2 linked regions of the Tribolium castaneum genome follow. The protein of the gene in region 1 interacts with the protein of each later gene in a biochemical or structural test. Links are inferred from orthologs where the notes say so. Each region holds a gene or a part of one and is shown in the gene's direction. Other genes may lie near its edges.

Region 1 (4,733 bases):
CTTTTTAAATGGAACGACCCTATTTTCTTAACGGCAATCGAAAGAACATCAATATTTATGGTGACTTTTATCAATACATTCTATACTTATTATCTCTTACAGTTTTTGAAAAAACTCACAAGAAACGGATTTTACTTCGTAATTTTTATAGTAATCAAGTAGACCTTGCAAATTCGTCAACAATTGTCAACTTGAACATTTTATTTAATTTTTTGACTGATTTATTAATTATCTAATAAGCAGTAAAATATTAATATTTAATTATGGTTTATTATCATAATTTATGTAAAGTAACTCATTCAGTCTGCCATCGAATTTTGAACTTCTTGAATGAAAACGGTGATCAAATAGAATTTTTTTTTAATTAATAGCACAATTTTATCATATTTTTCGAAAGTTTAGTTGATTAAAAATGAAAATAATTAGGTAAAATTCAATTTCTTGCGATTATTCCAAAATCTGTAAGAGATAGATATACAGGGTGCTCAAAAACTGGCGCACCAACTCAGTGGTACGTTATTGAGAAGCAAGTGCAGATTACGGGAAAAATGTTGAAAAAATTCCTAAAGTCGTATTTTAAAAAATCTGAAGCTACAAACCTATTGTGTTAACTTCTTTAGTTTTCATTATTTTTTTATATTATTATGTTTCATACCAGGTAATCGTTCCGTAACAAAACGATGAACAATTATTTTAAAATTTACTATCAGATTTTAGCAGTTTTTTAAATTTAAAAAAACTAAAATTCATCCAAAAAATCACAATGTGTAGATGTGCCAATACTGGGAATTATTTCCTAGGAAACCGTTTCAAAAATAATTTATTTTTATTGTTGCTCAAATTCTATTGCGATCATGACTATTAGACAACGTTGCCACATATCATTTACCTAAAATTAGTTATTTATCAATAACTTTAATACAAAGAATTTTTTTACTATTTTTACCTTTATATGTAACCACTTCTCTGCCACACACCATTGAGTTGGTGCGTCAGTTTTTGAGCACGCTGTAGAAGACTGTTTTATAATCATTTTTTAAATTATTTATGCACTTCAAAAAATTGATAGATAATGTAATTTATAGTTTCAATAAGAGATCTAATAATTTTATTTTACTGTTTTACTATTTTACAATTTTATCAATCTCATTTAAAAAAATAATTCGGTAAAAAATGCGACGTTGGCGTTTATAGTTTTGAAACAGCTAATACTAACAACTAGGGTATATTTTACTAATTCAAAAATGCAATAAAAATAGGTGGTTACTATTTGAAAATTTAAAGAATCAGCCTGTATGAAATGATCATTTGTGGTATTTCTTTGTTGGCGAAAATGTTTTATTTTTTTAAGGCGTTTAAATAAATTATGCGGAACAGTCGGTGGGCAGTGTTATGTTTTAAAATTTGTTGTTTTAATTATTGTTTTTAAAAGAAAATTTATGTAGAAATCATCCAAAAAATTCAAACCTAATTTCGCGCGACTTTTGGGGAAAATTTGTCGCTTGTGGTTGGTATCTGGGAATCAACAAACAAAAAACGCGCATGCGCATTAACGTCATAAACCGAAGAAGTGCATTTGTTGACGCCATTTTCCGAAAAATAAATCTTAATTGACTCTAAATGGCTAAATCGATTGAAATTAAATAAAACACAATGGAAGAAACAGACGTCTCCATGGAATACGACGGCGCCGACGTCGACGGCGTCGCCCAAGAGGAATACGAAGAGGACGGAGGCTTCGAAAACGACATTGAACTCGGAGATGACTTCCAAATGCGAGGCCGAGGACCTTCAGGGTTCAGGTATTCAAGTTTTAAACCGCCACACTTCCTAACGGTGTGATTACAGGGGCCGCGGACGCGCGTGGCCGGGTCCTCCAGGTCCGCCAGGACCGCGTGGAGAAGGTCCCCGGTTTCGAGGAAGGGGATTTGGGCCCGGTGGCCCTCCTCCGTTTCGTGGACGTGGAGGACCACCTCCTCCGATGTTTGGACGTGGGGGACCTCCCAGAAACCCACCACCAGGGCAGGGATTCAATGGACCTCCGAATTTTAATGGGCCTAACTGGGGAGGACCGATGGGGCCCCCGGGGACGATGGGTGGACCGCCCAATATGATGGGACCCAATGGACCGCCGTTCGGACCACCGGGCATGATGGGGGCGCCCCCGGGTGGACCCATGGGCGCTCAGGGCGGGACGACCAATGGGCAGTTTCCACCAGTAGGGCAAAATCCCACAACAGTAAGTTTTTTCGACGAGATTTTGCGAATTACCATCTTTTTGGAATTCGAATTTTTCAAGTTTATCTGTTCGAGTTATCAAATAATAAATACAGATAAGAATTTCACGTAGGGTTTCTATTGCCTACACTTTGTTTTTCTTGATTTAAAGTCTAGGTATTCCCGGGAAATATCGAATTATTACTAAATCTTAATCAAATAAAGAATTAAACTAGACTTTTCCAAACATTTTCAATAAAGATAAACACTTTCTTAAAATAGACCTGATATAACATTAAATTTTGCGGAAAACATGTCACCAAAAATAAAGTAGAATATAATTTATTTCGTAGTTTAACCCATCGAGAGTTCATCGGACGATCGGAGATTTGATTCTTCGGAATATCCTGATTATCCGTAGTTCATCTTTATGTAAAAATAACATAATTTTTGCTTTTTCCGTGTGCTGAAGCACGTTTGTTTGTCACTTCGATACATATTTTTTTCGAAAAATTGGCTGATCAACATTTCAAATCCAAACTGACATTATTTTGACTTGTATTACTCGATTAACACGTTTATGAACAAACCAAAAAAAAAAAAGGTAAAATAGGATTGAAACAATATATTATTATACGAGTTTTATAAGACGTTCTATTGCGGCACGAATGGTTTTGGAGCACGACGAAGCAGTGCTCCAATAGAATGAGTGTCACAATTAAGTCTTATAAAACGAGTGTAATATACTATTTTCTATTTTTGTTTGTTTCTGTTTAGTTTAACTTATCAAAATCTGTTCAAACTATTTTCTCTTAATTTTGTTAATTGTTCTTTTTCAATAAACGGCTTGACGTTGTTGATAGATCACACTAAATTACAGTGATGACTGATGACACCCAGCGCAGAACTGTCAATATAACTACAAATTTACTAAAAGGAGTTGTACAAAAGTTCTCTTTGTAAAACTAACAAGCGTTCATTTAAGAAGTGCTTTGAAAATAAAAAACAATTGATTACAAATGTTTGTGATTAATTCGTTCTTTTATAACTTTACTTTTTGGCAGTTAAAAAGATAACAGATTTTCATAAAGATATTTATTTATTATTTATAAAAACTTTTGGAAATGTTTTTTTTTGTTGTTTAACACACGTAACACATGGCCTTTGAACACTATTTATCACTCATAGGTTATGATGTTATGAATTTTGGTGAACTCGTGTAGTAGGAAATATCAGGCCATTCGGAGAGTTTTCTTAATAATGAACACATGATACTTTCAGTTTCACAATGAATAATTTGTGAAACCAAAGTAGAAAAAATTTTACCTTTCCAAACTTTTAAGACCTTTAAGCTGGTATTTGAATCAAAATCTCACCGTTTTTTTGCGAGATGTCATTAATACATACAGAAAAATCGCCAAATTACATTATTTTTGCCTTTTGGAGCGTTTTATCTTTTTTTAGCTATAAGCGGAATTACTTCGCAAGCCGAATAAGCACTAAATGGAACCAAAAATTGAGTTATTTTTTCACACTTTCAAATACATTTTTGAGTTACATATTTAGTTTTTTTCTTGTGAGTTTGCTGCACCGTGCTGAAAAATGACTAAATTAATTATTTTATTTAATTTTATAGCCTCGATATTATTTTTCCTCTTTCGTATGTTTTACCACTTTGTAAATAATAATTTATTATTTATCGAAGTTCGACTACAAGAATTCAATTGTAATTGTTTTTTGCAGGGGTTAGATGCAAATAGTGAAATTTGGGTAGAGACTAAAACCTCAGAAGGCAAGTCATATTTTTATAATGCTCGTACTAGAGAAACCACTTGGACTAAGCCAGAAGGTCCTAATGTAAAAGTAATCTCTCAGGATCAAGTGGAAGCAATGGCACAAGCGGCCACCACAGGTTTAGCCCAAGGAACGTCAACTGCAGCTCAGGCGGCGTTAGCGCAGGCTAACGTTTCAAATAAACCTGAAGGTACCTCTAATCCAATTTCTATCCCAAAAAAATTAACGAGAAATTTAGTTGAGTCAGAGGAATCGAAAGGCGATGCCAAACAAGCTGGGAACGCAATGCCTCAAAACATGTTAGCGGGTCCTCCGCCAGGTATGCCCCCATTTGGGGGTCCCCCAGGTCAGTTTGGAGCGCCTCCATTCGGCTTACCACCGCCAGGATTCCAAGGGACATGGCCGGCTCCAGGTCAAGCAGCATGGGCAGGGGGGCCACCAGGGGCTGCTCCGTGGGGTATGCCGCCAGGTCTTCTTACAGGTTTACCAGGAGCTATCCCAGCGATTGACGAAGCAGCGGTTTTGGCTAAAGTCGATCCGGAAATCATCGCCAAAGCGTCCGAATGGAGCGAACACAAAGCACCCGACGGACGCTTCTATTATTACAACGCCAAGAAAGGGGAATCGGTTTGGGAAAAACCGCAAGCTCTCAAGGATTTGGAAAGTAGGTTTTTTGCAACAAATAAAATAGTTTGTTTATTAATTATTTTTTGCAAAGCTGC
Region 2 (4,755 bases), on another chromosome or scaffold:
GGAAAGCCATTTCACAGACTCACTTATTGAAAAATAATATAAAAGCGCGTTCAAATCCGCGTCTTTACGAATCACAAGCTGATCGGTGAATGTCGGCCGGCTATCAAGCAAGCCATGAATCTCTTCATGGCAAGATATGATCTTTATATGTGGTGTACCCACTTTCCGCGAAATTACTTAATCTGAATTTTTTCAAAATAATTCTTCGTCTCAGCTCTTATCGCTGTTTGTCTTATTATACGGAATTATCGGACACGTTTCATGGAACCTGGTACCACTTAATATTTTTTAGCGATTTTCAATTATCTATAAGCGTGACATTCATCTAGTGGGCAGTGCGCTTGCATTTTCAAATTTTCAGTAATAAATAATGAAGTTACCATAAAAGCAGTCCAGTCTATACATAGTAATGCACAAGACTTCTATTAAGCTATTAAATAAAGTCAGATTTTTTTCAAGTAACTTTCTTATATATATTTGTTGTTTCTTAGGATGTCGAATTTAATTTATTGTCGAATTTACAAGTTTTTCATTGTTTTGGACATCATAAAGATATTAATTGTTATTTTTTTCAACAGCTATTTGTTTAAAAAAAAATATGATCTGAAGCACCAAAAAATTAACATAAAAAATTAACTTCGAGGAGCTATATCTCGTGAAAAAAAGCTTAAACATTTTTTTGCCATAGGAACTTTTAATTCAGTCTTTTCTCAACACTCGAGAGATTGTATGGTAGTTTTGAATCACCCTGTATTAAAACGGGGGGTACCACAGGGCAGTGTATTGGGTCCGATGCTGTTTTCGTTATATACCTTTGATCTTACTAATTATATAACTAACTGTAAAATTCACATGTATGCTAACGATATGCATTTGTATCTGACATTTCCATTCAATTATGACAAAACTATAAAGCTATATACAAAAAACACGGTGTAAATCTAAATGCAAACAACTGTCAGACGGCAATCTTTGATTGAAAATAATCAACAACTGAATTTATATAACCAAAAACTTACTAGGAAAAATTTAGTAATTTAATAGTGCTTTGATGAGCATGTACAGGCTGTTTCATATAATTTTACCATGACAGTAGTTGTCAGACTAATGACTGTTTAATGGATAGTCATATGTTTTTCACTAACAATTATCATGTGTTCTATCAAGTGACGTCATGAATATAATCCTAATTATTCCAATTTTTCAAAATTTGTAATCTAGTTCGTATTTTTAGTAGTTTAGGCATTTAGATTCATAAATAAAATTGAAACTGGTCACATCTCTAATGATGTGTGATTATTATCAAATTTTGTGCAAAAATGAAAGGGCCAATGGAAGATAGCATCTGCGAACTGTTCCCTTTTGTAAATGTATCATTATATTTAATAAAGTTTATTATTATTATTAAGTATTAATTGCCACCAGCTTGGTAACAAAGCAAAAGTTCACCGACATTTTTAGTGATACTGATAATACAAATTGTTTGTATTAATTTATCGCCGCTTTGAAAGTGTTTTTAGTCTTATTGTTACAAAATATGTTTTTCGGTTTGTTTACAATGTATGCACACACTAATCTAACAAAACGTGTTTTATTAATAGATCGATTGGTTCGGCTGAAGCCGGCCCTGTGGTAATTTTCCGAAAAACAGTCCGACTCTGTTTACGTCAATCAAGCAAAATATTTTTACCGCCGCACGACAATCGTACTTTTACAAACAATTAACAATAACAAGTTAAGCAAGACCGTAATTGTAAATAATTAATTAAATTAATCGTAATTCAAACGACACAGTTTGCGACATTACCGACAGGTACCCACAATCCCCTTGACATTAATTGACGCCATTTTGAACGTTTTGTGAGTTGTGTTAAAAACAAACCAAACATTTGAGTTAATTGACCCAAATTGTGCTTAATTTTTGTAAAATTTGACCTAATTGTGCTACTGTTCCACAATGGGGGAGGAAAAAGGTGAGTCCGGGCCCCACTTAACCGGCGAGTTTCACCCAATTCTAACCCCTCTAGACGGTAAAAACAACGAGCGGGAGCGGAGCCGGGAGCGCGGGGACCGCGAAAAGGACCGCCGACGGCGCTCCCGCTCCCGGGAGCACCGCCGGAGGTCGCGCTCCAGGTCCCGGGACCGCCGCCGGAAAAGCCGCTCAACGTGAGTATTTCGCCTTGGTTTCGTGGATTAATTGGGGGTTTAGGAGTCGCCATAAGAGCCACTCGCGGAGGCGCAAGCCCTCGCTGTACTGGGACGTGCCCCCGCCCGGGTTCGAGCACATCACCCCCTTGCAGTACAAAGCCATGCAGGCCGCGGGGCAGATCCCGGCCAACATCGTGGCGGATACGCCCCAAGCGGCTGTGCCTGTCGTCGGGTCGACTATTACGAGACAGGCGAGGCGGCTGTATGTGGGGAATATCCCCTTCGGGGTCACTGAGGAGGAGATGATGGAGTTCTTCAACCAGCAAATGCATCTCAGTGGCTTGGCGCAAGCTGCAGGGAATCCGGTGCTGGCGTGCCAGATTAATTTGGACAAGAATTTCGCCTTTTTGGAGTTTAGGTCGATTGATGAGACGACGCAAGCGATGGCTTTTGATGGGATTAATTTCAAAGGTGGGGTTGGCGTAATTAGTCCGGTCAAATAAGTCTTTATATCAAAATCTAGGGGATACAAGTATTGCAAAACGTAGTCAAAGAAGTGTTTTTTAAAGATTACTCAAATTCGGTACGAGTTAGAAAAAAAAATGTATTAAATGAAAATTATAAAGCATTTAATTTTACGCAAAAATGTTCTCTCGACTTTTTTTGATATTATTCAAATTAACAGAGCTTTGGGTGCTTAAATGTTAATGTACAATTTAAAAAAAAAACATCAAAAACACTTGATTGTTCTGTAGATTTTTCAGCTAAATTTGAATTTAGGGCACTTTGCACAAATTGTTAGATTTTATTTTAAGTTTTATGAACAAGGTCAGTAGACGTGATTTTTTTTTCGGAACCTAGTAGTAGTCAAACTGTTTGCAACCTACAATTACAGTCACATTTGTAAAATTTTAAATACGAACAGGAAAAGAAATACAAATCGATGACGGACGGGACAAAAAAAATTTCACATTTTTATTGATGAACAATCGTTATAAAATTCTGCTAATTTAAAGGCACTAATTGCAAGAATTATTTTTGAAGTAAAAGGTGGAACTTGTTGAAACTGAAACCACGAACCACGAAATTTTTTGTTTACACATAACTGTCGGCAGAAAAAAAATCTTGTGTGTGAAAATAAGTACAGAAAATTTAATCACATAGGTTTTAATTATTAAAGACTTTAACAATATCAAAGTATGTTAAATTTTATATGAGACGTTCACTCACGACAACAGCCAGTAACAAACTGAATAACATTAAATGCCGCAACAATAATCATTGTGTAAGATTATGGATAAAATGTCATCAACAAAAGTTATAATCTGTGAGATAACTAGTTGTTACAAGGTAGGAATAACGAGGTTTGTTTGATCCATTGGTTTTTGCTACTACTTTGTCACATTTTATGCTTTTGAGTAAATAATTTCAGACAAAACATTCATAATTTCGTATTCTAAAAATTAAGATAGCCACTTTTTTACGGAGAATTTAATAATAAAGACACCAGTGTTTTCTAAATTATTTATTTAAGTGTAATAATAATTAATAAGACAAATTGTATTAATACTGTGTGTACATATTTTAACTGGACACTGCAAAAAATTTAAGATTTTATTTTCAATTTTTTTAATAGTATCAGTAGAAAGTACAGCATCAACATTAAGTATTAACCGAATTGTGTATTTTGAAAGAAACTTTACTAAATTTATTTTGAAAATTTCGGTGTAGGGTTTTATTTTTGGAATGGCCGTTTAGCAAAAAAATTAAAAACCTAAAACTGGACAAATTGTGCGTTTACATCCTCATATCTTCCTTCTAAATAACGTTCTTACACAAGGCTGGGTTTTGATAAGAGAAAACTGAAAAAATGTACGTGCTGTGAAATTTTTGAGATGTGAGAAAGTTTTAATTTTTTTATTTTAAAACGCGAACCCTTACATAATCGAGATGAAAACACTTCAAATACATTTTTAGTTCAAGAATTATTTTGTTATTTGTAACACTCATCAAGTTATTGCAGTTTTCAATTACTGAAAAGTTCGAAGTGAAATCGCAGCGTATTTTCCTTTGAAACAAACATTTCGAGGGCTAATAAAAATGGAAACAAAAATTAATTAATGTCATCTCAAAAAATAGCTTGGAGTGGATTAATGTTTCGTAATTAGTTCTATTTCGTCACGTTTTTGGCTTTTTAAATAAGTTCCGGAGATATAAATGTTCTTTTGACTTCTTTAATATTAAAATTAACAATTAGGGCGGTTAAACGTAAAGTCATGATAACTGATAAGTATGTACAACTTTAATAAAGTCATGGTGAGTTGAAATTAATTTTCTAATTTTTTTAACAATAATTTTTGTAATAAAGGTATAATTTTTGTAATAATTGGTATAAATTTGGTATAAATCTAGCGGTGGACATAAAAGATTGGGACATTTAAAATTAAAAACAAAATTTTCAAATGTCTTATTTATATTTTTTTGTAAATGTGGACATATTATTAAAGAACTGTAAATAACTTATTTATTATTTGGCTTATTTGACTGGACTTATAGTGAGTGTTTGGATTGATTTTTTTTCTTCAGGTCAGAGTTTGAAAATTCGGC

What was found.
Region 2: the proteins of transcription elongation regulator 1 (region 1) and U2af50 form a complex in vitro, tested with the Homo sapiens proteins (2 studies listed by BioGRID). The link is inferred for Tribolium castaneum from reciprocal best matches to the Homo sapiens genes TCERG1 and U2AF2.

What each region holds. Positions count from the first base shown.
Region 1 is NC_087397.1:11,590,935-11,595,667, forward strand, and holds the start of transcription elongation regulator 1, read left to right. Parts: upstream 1-1,540; 5' UTR 1,541-1,653; coding exon 1,654-1,802; intron 1,803-1,848; coding exon 1,849-2,239; intron 2,240-3,960; coding exon 3,961-4,201; intron 4,202-4,249; coding exon 4,250-4,675; intron 4,676-4,729; coding exon 4,730-4,733. UniProt on the Homo sapiens protein: Transcription factor that binds RNA polymerase II and inhibits the elongation of transcripts from target promoters. Regulates transcription elongation in a TATA box-dependent manner.
Region 2 is NC_087399.1:6,083,028-6,087,782, forward strand, and holds the start of U2af50 (splicing factor U2AF 50 kDa subunit), read left to right. Parts: upstream 1-1,800; 5' UTR 1,801-1,957; coding exon 1,958-1,973; intron 1,974-2,027; coding exon 2,028-2,166; intron 2,167-2,209; coding exon 2,210-2,619; intron 2,620-4,734; coding exon 4,735-4,755. Other genes in the region: low density lipoprotein receptor adapter protein 1, read right to left, coding at 1-10. UniProt on the Homo sapiens protein: Plays a role in pre-mRNA splicing and 3'-end processing. By recruiting PRPF19 and the PRP19C/Prp19 complex/NTC/Nineteen complex to the RNA polymerase II C-terminal domain (CTD), and thereby pre-mRNA, may couple transcription to splicing.